Linked DNA regions of Schizosaccharomyces pombe. Changing the gene in region 4 together with the main gene of any one other region gives a genetic interaction. Each region holds a gene or a part of one and is shown on either strand. Other genes may lie near its edges. The genes, in order: sqs1, top1, ace2 and SPOM_SPCP20C8.02C.

Region 1 (4,633 bases), on a different chromosome or scaffold from region 4:
GGGGACGAAAGTACAAACCCGTACCGAACTTGGCTATCCACAGAGCTTCCGTTTGAATCGTTTCTTCGAGCTTCCCAGGCTTGAAAACTCCTTTACTTTAAACAATACACTAGTTCCTTAATAAGGATACAGTGTTTGACAGATTGTCGTCAAAAAACACTTAAGAATTCGATTAGTTGTTAAGTGGAAAAGTTAGCTCCGACGGGCCCCATAAAGGCTGAAGTCAGTCGAACCTAGGCGAACACTATTGACCCTTACCGAAACGGTATTTTTGCCTTATACTATTTAACGAATGAAAAAGGCTCCGATTGATACTTGGTTGAAACTGCGAATAGTGCGATGTTGGGTATCACTATTGACCGATATTGCCTGTTAAAATGACCTAAACGTTACTTTACATAACTCCTTATACTGTATTACACGTGTTATATATTAAACGCTAACTGATTTTACGATTATCTTCTTTAAATAGCAATAATAACTCTGTACACTGCGATATCACCGTTTTGTAGAACTTCTTTAGCTGCAGTATGCCCATAGCAGCAACTTACATATTCAATTGCTCCTGTAGTGAGAATAATTATTCTGTCTATTTAAATGAAGTTTATATCTTAAAATAAAAGATAGTTATCTTTCTGGATTTCCGGTTTATCTCTTGAATGGAAAGACACCATGTCGAAGTACCCACGGTTAATTTTTTACTTCACATCAATATGTACAAATCGCTAATTTGAATATGATGCTTAACCTAGAATAGTATATATTTATATATATATATATATAAATTGGAGTATTATCTCAAGTAAATAAGACACAGCTGATTAGTTTCTCGGTTTGACCAGTCACCCTGGTTTTCTAACCTAAACCACTTCTGCTAACTTTAACAATAGCACGTAAACTATCTTTGGAACCTTCATTTTCGGGATGACCAAGTCCTTTACCTGCATACCATCCTAACTTTTCGAGCAACCGACGACCTGGATTTTCTTTGCTAATTTCAGGGGCATCTTCTCCAACAATTTGGCCATCATATACACGTGTGGCTTTACTCGACCTCACAGAGGAAACAGTCATTCGAGATTTCCTACCAGATTTGGAAAATGACTGATACTCAACCCTGGTCTGTAAACGCTCCATAATCCTGGTAAGTGAAACCAAATCCACACTAGATGCATCAAATTTATGAGTTTTGGAAAGCATAGTATACCGCTTGTTTCCAGATCCATAACTTCTCGACTTCAAGTTCAAATCGTTGGCAAGCGCATGAACCAATCGACGAACATATTTTCTGCATGGAGGAAGGGAAATTTCTTCAATGGCCGAGTGCTTAAACTGTTGCATCCGTTGATAAACATCATTTATAAATATCTTATCAATTCGTGTAAGACTAGCATTGTCAGAATCGGAAGAAGACGGCTTCTGGCTTTCGCGCAAAAGTTTCTTTTTGCTTTTCTTTCCAAGTAGCCCCTCAGAGCGGAGTTTCTCCCTTTCCGCTCGTCTTCTTGCCTTTTTGCTTTTATCTTTAAGCCATTGTTCTTGCAATTCAGCGTACAAGTTCATGCTCTCATCGTCCAAAGAATTGGAAAAGGCATCTCCCATTCTAGCGGCCACAGCCTTTCCTGCCTTTCTCTCTAATTTCTTTTGAGCTTTACGCATTTTTTTAGGAAGTTTGCGATCTTTTTTCAAACCTTTTTCTTCTTTTACCTTCGCCCCTTTTTTGCTTTGAGAAACTTTTTCCGTTTTTTGAGTTGAGGGGTTATTGTACTCTTCATCCTCACTGTCATAATCATAAATAGTAAAATCATTTTGCAAAGTATCTCCAATACTAAGGTATGCCTCAATCTCGGAATCATCACTAGCATCAAAAATTGCCAAAAGCTCTTCTTCATCTTCATCTTCATCTTCTTCCAAAATATCATCTTCATCTTCGGCTAATGAATCTGTATTTCCCACAAGTTCCGTCGTTAACTTAGCATAATCATAGTCATCTGATCCCTCATCAAATTCTAAAGATTCCGAATCTTCAAGTGAAAAATTTACTTTACCCTCTGTCTCATCGTAATTTGATATTTCAGGTTTTTCTTTCTCCTCTTCCTCCTCTTCTTTCTCTCCTTCTAGCTCTTCATCTTCGTCCTCATCATCATCATCTTCTTCTAAAACGGAGAGGTCGGCAAACTTGTTCATAGTAAACGTAGTCATTTTATCGGTGGTGTCATCAATATCAAACTCGTCTTCATTTTCGGTACTCAACTGCTCCTGTGCCTGAGCCAAAGGCGGTGGAGGTGCAGCGTTATTGTTAGCAATATCATCATTGACCAAGTTTGGAACATTTAGTATGTCTAAAGAGTCATCATTATCTTTAGAATATAACTCCTTCTCAGATTCTTGTTCTTTGTAACACAACTGCTCACTTTCTTCTGTAGATGAAATTTCCTTATCACTTGGTGCAAGATTTAAAGAATGCTGAATCAAAACATTTTCGTTCATGCTTTTCTCAGGAAAACTTGAAACTTCTACATTCTTGGTGGTATCAAACGCTTCCGCATATTCCGGAATTTTCTTTACTTTCAATGTATCACCTTTCGAAGTAATTGCTTTAAATAACACAATGTCCAACGCCTTTATTTCACCGGTTTTTGATAAATCTTCGCAGGACTTAACGTTGGTTTCCTTGGGAAGCATAATCTCTTTGCTTTGGTGCTTAGCTTCATTGTGGGCATTTTGTTCATCGATTAATTGACACAATTCTTCCGCCGGGTTGTAATTGTCCTTAGCACGTATAAAGGTAATTCGGGGCCATTGTGAAATTCGACTACTAGGGTTTAAACCAAAAGGGCTTTTAGAATTATTGGATCCCTTAAATCTTCGGATTCGTGTATCACCACGAAACCTGGCAGAAGTTTGTAACTGATCTAAAATCTGTAGATCATCAAAATTTGACATTGAGGGATACAAGTCAAAAAATATGATAAAAAAAATAATATATAATTGTTTTAATAAATAATGATGGTGAAATCCTAAATTGTGAGGTGCGTAAACCAAATGGTGGTAGTAGGATGGAGTCTTGGGGGAAAGTGCTTCATATAGTACACTAAACGATTTTGCCACGGTATTAAATACAAATTTCTAAATATTCAATTTACAATTTAACTATTAATTTCAAGTATACACGTCTATTTAAACTGAAGTTGAGGAGATTCATACATTGACCGACTCAAAGTTGAATATGAATTAACCGACAGTAGCTCATCATGTAATTATAAGTTATAAATTTTTGTATAAAACATATAAAACAGCCAAATAACTATAATGTAAATAGTGCAAGAAATAGAATGTTAGAATATAGAACGCTATACTAATGCAGTTTCTTTTACGTCCCTCGAGAGCAACGACAGGGGAAACGATTTGTTCTTGAAACAGGGAGCAATGTAAAAATACATAGAATTACTTTATAATGAAAAAAATTCCTTTTTATTTTAAAAGTATAAAAGAGAAGCGTCGAATAGGGAACGAGATGACAAATTCTGCATATGATGAGAACGGTAAGGAATTTGAAGTTGAACACATACACAAAAGTGTATTCAGAAAAAGGAATAAATAATGTAATACGCTCAAAAAAAAGAAAGTAATAGAAATTTTTCTTAAGAATTTCAAACTTAGACAACGAAAAATAACAGTGAGTGCAGATATATGTATAAGTAGCGAGCGAACCGAATATTAAATACAAAAAAACAGCTATACCTTGGTACGTTTTTGAGCGTTCAGCATATCAGAAGAATAGAAGTTAGGATTATTGTTGGGATTTTCACCTTCAACCATTGGGGAATGGGTACCTTGGCGTTTAATCCCCTGAAGACTATAGGGCGGAACAGAGGCAATCGGCATGGATTGAGGAAGAATTGATGGATCCATATTGGGGATATTATTTTGGTCCAAAAGACGATTAGCTTGACTAATTGCATTAGCAGGCATAGTGGGAGGTTGCTTGGCATAACGATAATTAGAGGCAAGACTAGCAACATCACCATTCCTAGGCGAGCCATTAAACCCCGAGGGGGCTGGATTTGCATATGGAATATTAGAGGAAGTAGACTTTTGCATTTGATGCTGTTGTTGTAAAGCTGTAGCAAATTTATGTAAAGCGCTAGTCGGACCCGATCGCTGAGCAAGAGTGAAGGCTATGAGATCGCGCATTCCCGAAATTGTTTCAGTAATTTCCATGAACCGCATGATGTGCGGTTCCAATCCATATTCGTTGACGGGTGAATCCGGCAAAAGAGAAGAAGATGAGTTAATATTTACACTTTCGGATGACGGATCCTCACTTTTTACCCCATCGTGTTGTATTTGATTTTGAGGAGGCCGCGACTGCGAAAGGGCTAGGGAAGCGTTTGTCATTAACTCGCGCAAAAGATACTCGGAATGTCCGACAGCTGAAAACTCTAAAGAGTCTAATTTTAACAAAGGAGCACGAAAGAAATGAGCCCGCAAGTGCCCCGATACAATTACCTGTACACCGCCTTGATACTGATATAAAATGCTTGCCCTTGACGATTCCACAAAATACCCATTGTTTGGAATGGCAAATTCCTTTGTATTTCCCAAAAGGAACGACATCTTTTTAAGTTTGCCG
Region 2 (5,033 bases), on a different chromosome or scaffold from region 4:
GAAACTGCTAAAAATGAATATTTAGGAATCCGGTTGAGTAAATGTAGGTACTCGTAGAAGGTAGGATCCAAATGCTAGTGTGTTCATACTTTGTTTTACGTAATTTAATCTTTACCAACCCGATTGTATCCGCTCGTGGTTGCATTGGATTGCTCCAGCAAATAGTGAGACAAAATCTCTTCCACTGATATTTCTGCTATACCGGAACTTGTGCCAATCTGACAAAGAGAACGAAAAAGTGGAAACCGGGTTTAAAGATGCGAAAAAGGCAGTCAAATGTAAACGCTAGAGAAAAAAGTAATTTGGATGGTATAGAAGTGCTTGAAAAACTATTTAGTACAACCAAAGAAGAGTAATTGGTATAAAGATTAAAAAAGCAGCAGCTTGGCTTTTCTTTCCTTTTCTATTTGTAAAAAAAAAAAAACAAAAAAAAAATTGTTTACAAGAGTAAGTTTGCTTGTATATTGAATTTGATGATCGTAACAGGCATTTCACCAATATTAAAGAAAAAGACCTCAAGAGTAAACAGTAATTATGAAAAAAAAAGCCAAATGCAATGGGGATAGTATGAAATGTCACGTTCAATTTGTTTTGTGCTAAATTTTATTCTGTCTATATTTTTGCTGAAAAAACTTCCTTAGCTTTGCATTTTTTGTATGAATTTTTATTAAACACTAAACTAGAAGTAATTAATTCCTTCTTTCAGCACACTAAGTTGTTGTACGCTAGCATTCATTTCAAGACATCATTAAGTCACGAAATTACGAAGCACTTTCACAATTTGTCTGCCGTAGGATGATAATAAATAATTTTTTTTTAAAAAGTTCAATGAAAGATACTTTTCTTAAATCGTAGAGGACTTACCACTTCCAATCCGGAGGTGTATCAGCAGCCCAATTGAACTTGTCACGAATCGTCTTACTAAACAGCTTCTCAATAGGAACGTCTTCTCGCTTGCTGAACGAATAAGTAAGCCTCGGGTCTATGTAGTTAATCTTACTTGTACCCAAAGCAGTAGTTTTATTCTCGTCTTTATCGATCATCTGAGTACGCATAACATTAATTCGTTCATTGAGTTTGTTTAATCTTTTCTCAAGTTGTTCCATCGAAGAACGACCTGGATCGACTTTTTTGCTTTTAAGTTCAGCGTCCAGCGCTTTCTTCAACTCATCAGCCGCTTTCAATCGAACTTCCAATTCAGATTCCGGAAGCACTGATTTGGGATCCTCAGCAGCTAATTTTTCGTTCTCACGATCGAATTTCTTTTTTATTTTCTCTTTTTCTAGTTCGTAAAGTGTCTCGTGATGTTTTACGATCCATGAATCGGTAATGCCTTCTTCTTTAGCCAGCAATTCGGGCTTGCTTTTAGCAAGCTTGGGCTCTAAATTCAGCATCATTTTTCGCAGTCTCATCCGCTGGTATTGTAATGCCTTAATCCTTTCGGCAAACCGTTCCATTTGAACATCGTGATTTTTGGTTACGGAACGTTGATGATTACATAAAATTGCAACAGTCCTATTTGCCCTATTATAAAATAGTATTTTGTCTGCAAGGGTGAGGTTCTTAGGCATTTTCTTAAGTTCCTCGGCCATGGTGTATGAAGCATTGTAGGTACGAAATACTTTAGCTGAAAGTCCATCCATAAGGCTAGTCAGATATTTGTTAAGACTGTTTGTACTGAGACGGTCGAAAATTAAATCACCCTCTTTTTTGGGAGGACGTTTAAAGATCTTTAGATTTTTAAAAACTTGGGGATCAACTTCAACCTCGTTGTAGTAACGAATAGAATCTTTACCAAGAAAATCGAAAACGACTGTTCGTGGTGGCTTCAGTGTAACATGTTCATATCGCAGTGAACAACAACCAACAGTATCCGCCTCGTCTTCACCCTTTTCATTTCCTGCTCTTAAAGCAAAAACATCAATTAAATACATGGCAGTTCCTCTTTGACGCTCAACCGTTAACTCACTTTTCAAATCTTTCCGGTAGCCTTTACGGATATCATCAATATAATCCTTAAGCTTTCTTGACTTTTCGTATTTTTTTAAGTCACTCTGTCCTTTTAGAGAACTTCCTGCAGCTAAAAAGACATATTTGACATTATTATTTATATTTTCATGCCAGGTTGCCAACCAGGTCACTGTATTATCATGCTTTACCTCCGCCCATTGATGCCCAGGGAGTGGTTCTGGAACGGGTACACCTTCACCAATATTAATGGTAATTTGTTCAGGATATACTCGACGCTTTAAAGAACCAGTTTTAGGATGACTACCTCGACCACGAAATAACCCTGGAGGTTCAATACGAAAGTTACCAACCTTCTCCTTTCTCCCATCAAGTATGCACCATTTATATTTTTCCTCTTCCTCATCTTTTTTCTGCTTTATTGCCTTCTTCTGTTCCTTCGGCATACTCTTCTTCTCTTCCCTCTTTTGCTCAAAATGGTGAAACATTTGGGTAAAATCACATTTAGAAAACTCTTTAATGTTGTGATTAAAGTTACATTCATCACAGACCTTTAAGAAGTCACGGAAAAAATTATCTTGGAATACAGGATTTTTGGCATGATCGGTTTCAAGCATTGCAGCATAAAAACCAGCAACTTCTTCTGCTTCGGGAGGAAGATTTACGGGGTTTCCATCGTAAATTAGCTTGACGTTCTTTGGTAAAGGTTCATAGGGTGGAGCAAAAATTACACCATTATGCTCCAATGTAGTCCATTTTTGAGTATCATCGATATTTTCTGAAGTCCACCACTTGTAATCCTCATCTTCATCTTCCTCATCGTTTGGTGAGCGATTTTGCGTGGTCGAAGCTCCCGAAGGCAGTTCTGATTTGTAAGGAGTTAAAGATACAGTCGAAACAGCTCTCAATGGAACTGAATCATCTGTGTCACTTTCCTCTTTTTTAACAGCTGACTTCGCGCCATTTTTACTTCCATTCGCTTTAGAAACACGTTTATGCTTCGGTGAGGGCTTTGCAATTTCATTGAAATCCTCTTCCTCTTTTACAACCGCCGTTTTTTTTCCGTTTTTTAAACCACCATTTCCCATTACTTTAGCTCTTTTTTTAGAGCTTGAATTGGACATATTTTTCTTTGAAGAAGCACGTCTCTTTCTAATCGGTATATCATCCTCATCACTCTCGGATTTGGATTTCTTATTCAACGATTCACTAAGAGGATGATTCTAAACAATTAGTCAACAATCTTTAATTATTATGTTGTGAACATACTTCAGAACTATCACTCTCTTCGTCCGACTCCTTCATACTAATCCGTTTAGATGAACCGCGTCTTTGCCTCCTTCTAATGGATAAAGACACGGAATCTGAATCTTTTCAGTTGTTAAAAATTTTGCAAATGTTGTTAAATTACGTGAAACCTTACCAGACGAAGACATTGTGAATTGTTTGCATACATCTATAATACAGTAAAAGAAGGATTAATATTGAGTACGTACACTCGTTGTCATGACAACCAAATATTGACAATTAATGTTTGTAAAAATTAGTAGCTAAATGAGAAACTGGAATTTTCAAATAAAATAAAATTTAATGTTACGAAGCTTGCAGCAAAAAGCTATAAATGTGCATATTTCAAAATAAACCCATTAACAGTACGAGAAAAGTAATCTCTAATAATTTTGAAAGCTTTAACTTTACATTTATTGTAAACAATACCAAAAGCCACTGAATATCCAAAACAAAAAAAAGGTGATTTGATTGATACAATAAGCCATTAGCTGCCAAATATTGGAGGTTTATTATTTAATATGTAAGCTAATATTTTGGCAGTAAATAGCAAATAGCTTAACAGCATATAGGGAAAGCTTTAATGCCACTTCAAATTCATAAACTACTAAGGACTTAATAAAGTGGGTTAATAAAAAAAACAATAATTAAAATTATGGGATTCTCTTAGTGAAAAAAAATGAGATTAAATATCGTCTTTAGCTGTTGAACAAATTAATGAAACTGGGTGATCATCACTCATTCAAAGATTCAATATTTGGAATAAAAGCTCTTATTAGAGAGCTTCCAGTTACCATTCCCGTAGTCATAAATGTGAATTCATATAAATCTTCTTTTTCTTGCAATAAACGAAATGCAGCCAGCTCTGTGTACGTGCAACCACCGATGAAAAAAACTAAAACACGACGTTTACCTGGTACGTTTGTCTTCAAATTTTTAGGCATGACCTTTTCCTGGTCTAATGTCCACTTGTCAACGTAAGTTCCAGGCATATTTTGCAACTTAAGAATTTTTTCTTCATTGTCTCTGCCTTTTAAAATGTCATATGCTATGTGGACTGACAAAGGACCGTACCCGCTGTACGTATAGGCTATATCTTCAGGATTCTGCTCATCAACTTCGTCCTTAACCAAAGGATAAGTGTTTAACCATGTAGAATAAGACAATGATTTTTGAAGTGAAATATTAGTGGATTGCCGGAGGCGCAATAGTCCTGCATCTATCAAGGCTTGGAATGTTAAAAGGTGATAATAACCATATGTTTGAGTGATTTCCCTACGGTAATGATCTATATCTTTTCTTCTCAAACCATTGGTAGTTATACTTGCAAGGCAAAGTACTCGAAAAACCTCTTCAACAGGTGCTTCGGCATAGATAATTTCATCTAATAAATTGAATTGAGTAAAAGAATCGGCATGAGAAACTAGCAAATGCTGAAGTTGTAGTAGCTTTTGAAAGTAATTATTTTTTGTGTGTTGCACCAAAGTTTCAGCGAGACCAGTGTCTATCTAATTAATAAAATTTTTTATGGAAATCAAAAGAAAAAAATACTTACGAATATTTAATGATGTATGCTCCGATTGTAAGGAACCCAGTTTGGAAACGAAGTCTCTAATCTGATTTACAGTTTTGGCTTGACGTCGACCTTCAAAATCGCTGGATAGTTTTCGAGCAATTTTGCTTAAATAAGGGCCTATGCAATTAAAATTTATGTCTCTAATTTCCTTGGTAATTTGGCTGGAAGAAGAACTTAAAGAAAACTTTTTCATCGGTCCAGT
Region 3 (4,241 bases), on a different chromosome or scaffold from region 4:
ACCTGTGATTTTGTGTTTGCATAAGCTACGACGAGTTTTCGTATTTTTTGGTTCTTTGCAAATAGAAATGAATTATCTTTTCTCTTGCCGACAAAATTTCCTCCAATGACCAGCAATAATAGTTAAAACAATCATTGGTTTCTCTGTTTAAGTCATAGTGATTAATTTGTTGAATTATTATTATCATAATAAATGCTTGCTTGGCAGCATACTACAACCACTGTTTTCCAATGAAATACTTCGCATACTATAGTAATTAAATACAAGTTTTCCCTAGAAATACCAACTTAAACATATGTTGACTAAACATCGGTGCGAGTGAAAGCAAACACTAATTCTTACTCATGTATCCAAGTTGTTTGTCAGGTTTGGGGAAACTAGTTTTACCATTTCAGCCGTTCAACGATACGAACAACTTCATAGTTGTATTTCCATTTCACAAAGATTAATCTGTAGATTTTAGATGATGCAGAGTTATACACAATACTAGGGTGATGAATAAATATACAAAAGACAGATACAAGTTGATAAATTATCAAAATTGTCACAGCATTAGTTCATGTACGATGCTTGAATTTGAATTTATATAAAAGCAAATTAAAAACAATAATATTAGTAAAATTAAAAAATCCCAAAAAAAAACCAAACATAACTCATTATAATGCAATGCGATGCAAGTTGTACAGCTGTCATCATTAGTGCTGTCTGCGATCTACGCCGCCAACACATATATTTCTCTGCTTATGCCGATTTAAGGCATCAAGTCGGTTAAATCTCTTTAAGCATTCACATACATATGGCCTGCCATTTTCGTGAATCCTCAGATGACGCTTAAGATCGTGGTGACGAACAAAGCCAGCTTTGCATAAGTCACAGCGATACGGACGGTCGCTCAGATGTGTTTGAATATGCGATTCAACATTATATTTGCGAGCAATACGTTTATTGCACCCGTTGTACAAACAGACGTACTTTCCATCTGCTTCAGGGCCGCAATATAAGCTAGCCATTGTCTCCGGAGGAATTCTACAAATCCTAGTTGATTGCTTGCGAGTTTTGCATCTATGATCGTATGAAATTCTGACCGGAGGTTTGGAATCATGCTCGGTGACTTGAGGAGTAATTGATAAATCAGCAGATTCAATTTTTGGAGCTAATTGTTCTTCTTCCTTGACAGTGATACAAGGTTCAGGTTTCTTGGTAACTATGCAAGATTCATAAGGTGCACTTAATGCAAACTGCTGTGTCAAAGTGTTGTTGATATTTGCGTTCGATATGTCAAGTCCATGATCGCAAACGGATGAGAATTTTTCAAATTCAGAAACGTATTCAGCAGGTGATGATAACTTTGCAAACGCTTTCTGGTTGTCAGTATGCCTGCATACATCCAAATGGGAAAACGAAGAATCTAGAGCAAAGGAGGGCTTTTGAGGCGAAGTGGGCTCTAGCTTTACAAGTTGGGCAAATGGGGATACAGGGGAGATATTAGGTGCAGTCTCTGGACTCGATAAGTCTACAGGATGTGCCGGACTTGGTTGGGATATTTGAAAGTTCAATTCTTCAAATGAAGGCGCACCGTTTATCTCATCTAATCCAGGGGGAGAGGATGGGAGGAACATAAACTCATTAAATGATTCCAATTGCGAAGAGCTGGGAAGAACGGAAGAGGCAGGACCCGAGGTTTCAGGTATACTTGAGGAAAGGTAGTCGAAATTTTCGAGGTGATCTTTGTTGGAGCAAGTTTCCGTCTTTATTTCTGGTATGTCAAACTCAGGAAACGAAAGGACTTGTTGTTGAGAGTCCAGCTCATCAATCCAATTTGATGCATCATAACCAATTTCGGAAAAGGCCTGTTGAGAGTTGGTCAAGGAAAATGCGTCATTGTTATTAAAATTTTGCTCGGTATGGATTTGTGATACGCAAGTTAAAGGCGAGGAAGGGGGTGATAAGGAAGCATCAAAGGAGGATGCATACGAGTGAGAGTCGGGGAGCGATATTTGGTTCGATAAAAAGTATGCAGAATTCGCTTCCAACAAAGGGTTAAACGGTGTTTTTAGAACAGAACTATAGTCAAACTGATCTTGAAAGTTCTGAAGATGAGAAGGCGGTGAAGGGATAACAGCTTGATTTAAAGACACCTCATTTTCAAAGGGAGCGAAGGAGGAAAAAGAAGTATGCTTGCTATCGCCAAAAGTTTCATAATCCCTTTGGTACGAATGATTACAAGCTGGACTCTCTTCTTGTCGAAATGATTCAAACGACTTTTGCGAAGAAGATGATAAATATGAAAGCGACATTGTCTTGTTTACTTAGGATAGCGAGTATCTAGTGCAATGCGTAGAGAAATCAAGGAGAGAACGATGAGAGAAATGACTCTTGAAAAGAGTGCTTGATAACTTGAAGTGAGATGAAAGTGTGGCTCAAAGCCAGTCTAACCCAGTAGATGATTGAACTAATCACTCTTCGATTTTTTTTTGTTTGTTACAGCAATGTTTGGTGCGCTGGCTATTTGTTTATATCAAATAGCTACTCCGTTGCTATGACGACAATTGTTGAATTTTATGCTTCACTTTACCGCAAAACAAGTCACTATTTGTTTACATTGCATGGATTACCGAACCATATCACAACAACGCAATACAAGTGTAAACACAGACCCAGGGATTGTTTATTTACCTTTTGTTGCCAAAGGGACAAATCAACTATTTTTTGAATTAAACCAGTAAAAGGTTTGATTGAAAGACACTACCACTAATAAACAGGATAATCACGGCTATGAAAATGTCTACGCTTCAACAACTGGATCATGGATGATATTAGAAAACATAGATTAAGTATGACAAGCCAAAAAAAAACGGTAACCAACCTGAAAAAACGACAACGACGTTGAGATCAAAAACCTTAAGGTATTAGTATTAGTATAGAGCTAGCAAGAGAAAAAATGCCATGGAAAAGTTTTTAAATGCAATGAATAAGTTACTTACAACACTGACAATCAAAAGGGCAATCCGGTGTACCTCCACCTTGGCCAATGTTTAATTCCTCCTCGTCATATACAAGAAACCCTTCCTCGGTACGCTTTCCTAAAACACAAAACGTTAATACAATTACTGATGATAAGGAGAAAAGTGCCGTTGCTAGGTAAGTATTGCATCGTTCGGCAAACATTCCCGTAAACAGAATAGCGAATAAGGTTCAATACCACACAATAGAGCTTAATGATTTGGAGTCTCCACCAACACTAAACATCATTGTGAAATGTATCTCCCTAGAAAAACGTAATCTAGCTCTAGCAGTATATAATAAATAAATAAGTATATAGCACAGTTCGAAGTTTCTCAATCTTTTAGACAATAAATATGAATTTGAGGTCAAAGAATTGACAAACAACGCGGATGCCAAACATGAACGAATGCAATCATTAACCAAGTAGCGAGAACGTATGTAAGGATGAACTATCAAACGGCAAAAAGTGTCTTACTTCCTGAGGCTCCCTTTGGATCTAAAAATAAATCGTCTTGGTTATTAGTAGGTTTTGGACGACTTGGAGTAGATTTTGTCTTGGCTCCTTTCTTAGGGGCTTTCGCCTCCGACTTTGAGTCATTTGACTTTTCATTTGCAGGGTTTGCCTTTTTAGAAGCAAAAATGTCGTCGATTTCCATCTTTTAAATACTCGTAGAGAGGAGTTTGCCAAGTCAATGGCAATTGTATAATTGAGTAGAGAGACAGTTTGTTGTAGCTTGCAAACTTGCTAGAAATTCTTTTGCGGTACCGTGCTTCATAAAATAAGAATTCTCTAAAATGCTTAAATCTGCATAACGTATTCTCTCGTATTACGGTAAAGAATTTGTAATATTTATAAGAATGATTCTTCAGAAGAAACTTGTACCAGCATTAAGGCATGAGATTGATCGATTCCTTTTTTTTCCTTTGGTTCTTTATTATGTTTAAAATTGTTTAATTTTGTTTAGAAGCTGTATCACCTCTGTCATCGGTATTTCGAAACGGCAATAAAATGTAGACAATTCTTTGGCCAAGCTTTCTTTATAAAAGCATATTTAGGTCAACTCTATCCTAATACCATAAATTAACACTTTTTGTCTTCATTTAAGAAGCGAATTATTGCTGTATCAAATTAACAAATGCAAAATCTCATTGCTTAATAAACGAAATACTTTAGTAATTAAGCATAAGATAAAAATAAAGTGAATACTATTTGACAATGAAAATCAGCTCAAAAC
Region 4 (3,231 bases):
ATTGAAATAGCCTCTGCAAATTAATGAAAGAAACAAAGCTTAATAGAATACCCCCAATTATTTTAAGACGAAAGAGTTTTTTCACGTTCCTGAAACAATGTGTTTAAGAAACTCTCAAGCAAGTATACTTTCATTGAAATATACCTCTGCTGTTAAATAGTTACTATGAGCAAATATAATAGGTAAACTGCACAAAGCAAATACGTAAAAACTCCTACATAATACTTGATATGTACAATTGTCATTTAGCTTGAAAATGCTAGATAGAATAGAAACGCCTCTAAAGAAAACTATATTTAAATAAATTGAATAAAAAATAAAATGGCAAATTTGCCCATTTACGTAATGTTACACATTGATATCCAAAAGGAACTTTTATCGTACATAAACACAATTTATTTAATTTGGAAAGATTGAGTTTTGTATATTCTTGACTAACTATTGGTCTAAGTTGACATTTATTTAACCCATATTTATTATCCAATTACTCGCTTCGTTTTTACAAGTACTGACATCTCTTAATCCTGCCTATACCATTTATCCTGTGTATTATTCACTCATTTAAAATTAAGATTATTCTAATCATCTCAAATCGGGCGATCTCATCTGGTTTGTGAGTCGGACTAGTTCAACTTCATAGACCACTAAGCTCTAAACATGATCTCAAATAAAGTCACCATTTACTACCCTGAGATAAAATTGCTGGTGACTTCATTCGTAGGTATCATCAATGACAATATCTATAAATGGAAATACGCTATATACCTTGCGTTGCCTAAATAGCTGAGTACAACCTGTTGGACGACTTCTCTTGCAGTAGTCCGTAAACTTGGAATTGACTCCAGCTCCTTTAACTTTGCAGCTCCATTGCATTGTCTGTTCGGAACCAGCACAGTGTCCTTCACATCTCTCTACTAGACAACCTAAACTTAGAAAGCTTTGACCTCCTACTATGCAACTCCATGAAACTCCGTAGTTGTTGTCACAAACCAACTTGCTTGACTATCATCGACATATTTGTATTGAACATTGTACAGATGTGCTATCAACACACCACAAGAAGCAAGAGACACGGTTTGTCTCTTATTCGCCCCTTGTACATTGCAAAAGCTAATGTCCAAATCCTTAATCGATATACCTGGTTGAAGGATTGATATTTTCAGGTCCTTCATAAACACTGTCACCAAATATATAACAATCAGTGGTATACTGACCTGTTAGAAGTTGACATAAGTAAGCATCGGTATCAGTGTTTGTTTCTGTAATGCTATTTAATAAGTAGTTGTAAGCTTCAATTCGTACATCAGCTGTATCAAATAGCATCAGTCCATGTTGGTCAATTAAATTAGCAAGTAATTCTGCATAGTTGGGAGGCAGCTTAGCATAGTCAACAAAAGTCAAATTCACCTCAGCTAAGACAAGTTTTATGAATACACAACAAATACAAAACAGCAATAACATATAAGATCTGTCAGGTTCTAATGTTATATCTTTCTCCGTTTAGCTTATAAAACTAACCGAAAAAAAGTGTATATATACTGAGTTCTACCTTTAAATTAATTTTTGTAGTTGAACAATATTAACGGTTTGAAATGATATATTACATGATAATTGTCCCATGCGACTAACTCGGTTGTTGCCGGGGGCATTTGATGTATGAGGAGTCAGTGTTAGCTACGCGGTTTGGTATCTGTTTAACATACTTAGAACCGCGGTGAGTTTTCCTTGTGATCTATTATATTGCAATACACAGGTACTATATGTAGCAACTTGATATTGGTAAACACCAGCGCATCTTATTGTATCGTCTTTCTAAAACCAAACTGCGTAGAGGAAGAACACTGCCTCAGCACCTTTCGTTAAAATCATAGGAGCGCTTTTTTAACCGACTTGGAATTAGTTGGAATATGTTCAAAGCAATAATCTTTGATCTTTTCCTGTTAAACGAAAGGAAAAAAATTTCAACAATGAGTCAAATTCTTAGCAAAAAGCAGTTTTGAGTGATAATATAATTCCTTTCAATGTTTTGTTTATTTTTGTATACCCATGGGATGAAGGTTAAGAAACACCAGACAACTGAAGATAAAGTTAAAAACTTATTTTTATTTTATTTTAACTTTATCTTTAGAAAATTGACATAGGTGAGTACAGGTTAGAATAAGTTTCTTATATTTCCAAACTGGAATTATTTAATGCAAACATATAATGCAGTTATCTATTTATCTAAACATCTGCGCCACTAGACATTTTCATTGTTCTTACTTATTAAAGGCCCTATTTTTGTTTTCTTTTCTTTGTTTACCTCTTTTGGTCCTTTGCATGCTTTGTTTTCATTGTAGATAATGAGGGTTCCAAAGGCTTTGAAAATTATATATATATTTATACATAAACTGGTGTAACTTTGTAATTGTATTTTTATCTGGTGTTCTTGATCCTGGATACATATTGAACAACACGTTTAAAACACTCTACCAACTTTTAATAAACAGCGTTAACATTTACTAGAACAACACACTATATCTTTCTAAAAAATGACTACGCTCATTATTGATTAAAAATCGACGTCAAACGAGAATTTTGAAAATGGTTTCGACTTACCTCCACCAGATGATTCAGCAGAAGACTTGCAACCGTTTATCAAGAAATTCGAAAGATCTCTAAATTCTGCTTTACTAGAATTCGGTGAGAATAATCAGGAAACGATTGAAAAATTTTCGTCAAGCAAAGGAACATTAAATAGATTTGAAACTGAATGTGATCAAAAGTTGCGAAATTGGAAGAGATTGGCGATAGAAAGGGAAGTTCCGGAGGAACCATTGGGAGAATTACAGTTTCCACGCTGGATAGACGAATGGGCAAATACTAAACTAGGAGGAATTTTCGAGCGAATATTTTCTAAAATAACTCAACGCAGAATGACATGAATTCTAGGTTTGACGCTATGTACAATGAGATGACTGTCATGAAAAATGACATTGCTTCCATCAAAGGTAAAGCAACTACTTTTAAGAACGAATTAACTGCCATCAAAGGTTCTATATCTCAATTAGATAGAAAAATCGATCTTTTGGATCAAAAAACTGAAGAAAGATTTAATAATATGGCTCAAACGATGCAAAAAATTGATGATCGTTCTTGCAAGTCGATGATGCTAACAAAAAAATATGAAAATATGGTCCGTTCAAATATGCATTATTCGGCTGTTCCAGTACCATTCCTTAACGGAGATGA

Evidence for each region.
Region 1: mutations in SPOM_SPCP20C8.02C (region 4) and sqs1 together harm fitness less than expected from each alone (positive genetic interaction), as found in Schizosaccharomyces pombe (one large-scale study listed by BioGRID).
Region 2: mutations in SPOM_SPCP20C8.02C (region 4) and top1 together harm fitness more than expected from each alone (negative genetic interaction), as found in Schizosaccharomyces pombe (one large-scale study listed by BioGRID).
Region 3: mutations in SPOM_SPCP20C8.02C (region 4) and ace2 together harm fitness more than expected from each alone (negative genetic interaction), as found in Schizosaccharomyces pombe (one large-scale study listed by BioGRID).

Annotation. Positions count from the first base shown.
Region 1 is NC_003423.3:1,301,086-1,305,718, forward strand, and holds sqs1 (G-patch and R3H domain-containing protein), read right to left. Parts: upstream 3,051-4,633; 5' UTR 2,944-3,050; coding exon 856-2,943; 3' UTR 512-855; downstream 1-511. Other genes in the region: ldb1 (LIM domain binding protein), read right to left, coding at 3,736-4,633.
Region 2 is NC_003423.3:2,941,177-2,946,209, forward strand, and holds top1 (DNA topoisomerase I), read right to left. Parts: upstream 3,421-5,033; 5' UTR 3,405-3,420; coding exon 3,392-3,404; exon of another isoform or gene 3,339-3,391; coding exon 3,238-3,338; exon of another isoform or gene 3,192-3,237; coding exon 861-3,191; 3' UTR 558-860; downstream 1-557. Other genes in the region: HOPS/CORVET complex subunit, vacuolar sorting protein Vps33, read right to left, coding at 3,990-4,759, 4,811-5,033. UniProt on the Schizosaccharomyces pombe protein: Releases the supercoiling and torsional tension of DNA introduced during the DNA replication and transcription by transiently cleaving and rejoining one strand of the DNA duplex.
Region 3 is NC_003424.3:3,238,671-3,242,911, forward strand, and holds ace2 (DNA-binding transcription factor Ace2), read right to left. Parts: upstream 2,484-4,241; 5' UTR 2,298-2,483; coding exon 696-2,297; 3' UTR 562-695; downstream 1-561. Other genes in the region: SPOM_SPAC6G9.01C (uncharacterized protein), read right to left, coding at 2,893-2,900, 2,985-3,083, 3,482-3,662. UniProt on the Schizosaccharomyces pombe protein: Regulates the transcription of genes required for cell separation.
Region 4 is NC_003421.2:30,060-33,290, forward strand, and holds SPOM_SPCP20C8.02C (uncharacterized protein), read right to left. Parts: upstream 1,462-3,231; coding exon 1,126-1,461; 3' UTR 502-1,125; downstream 1-501.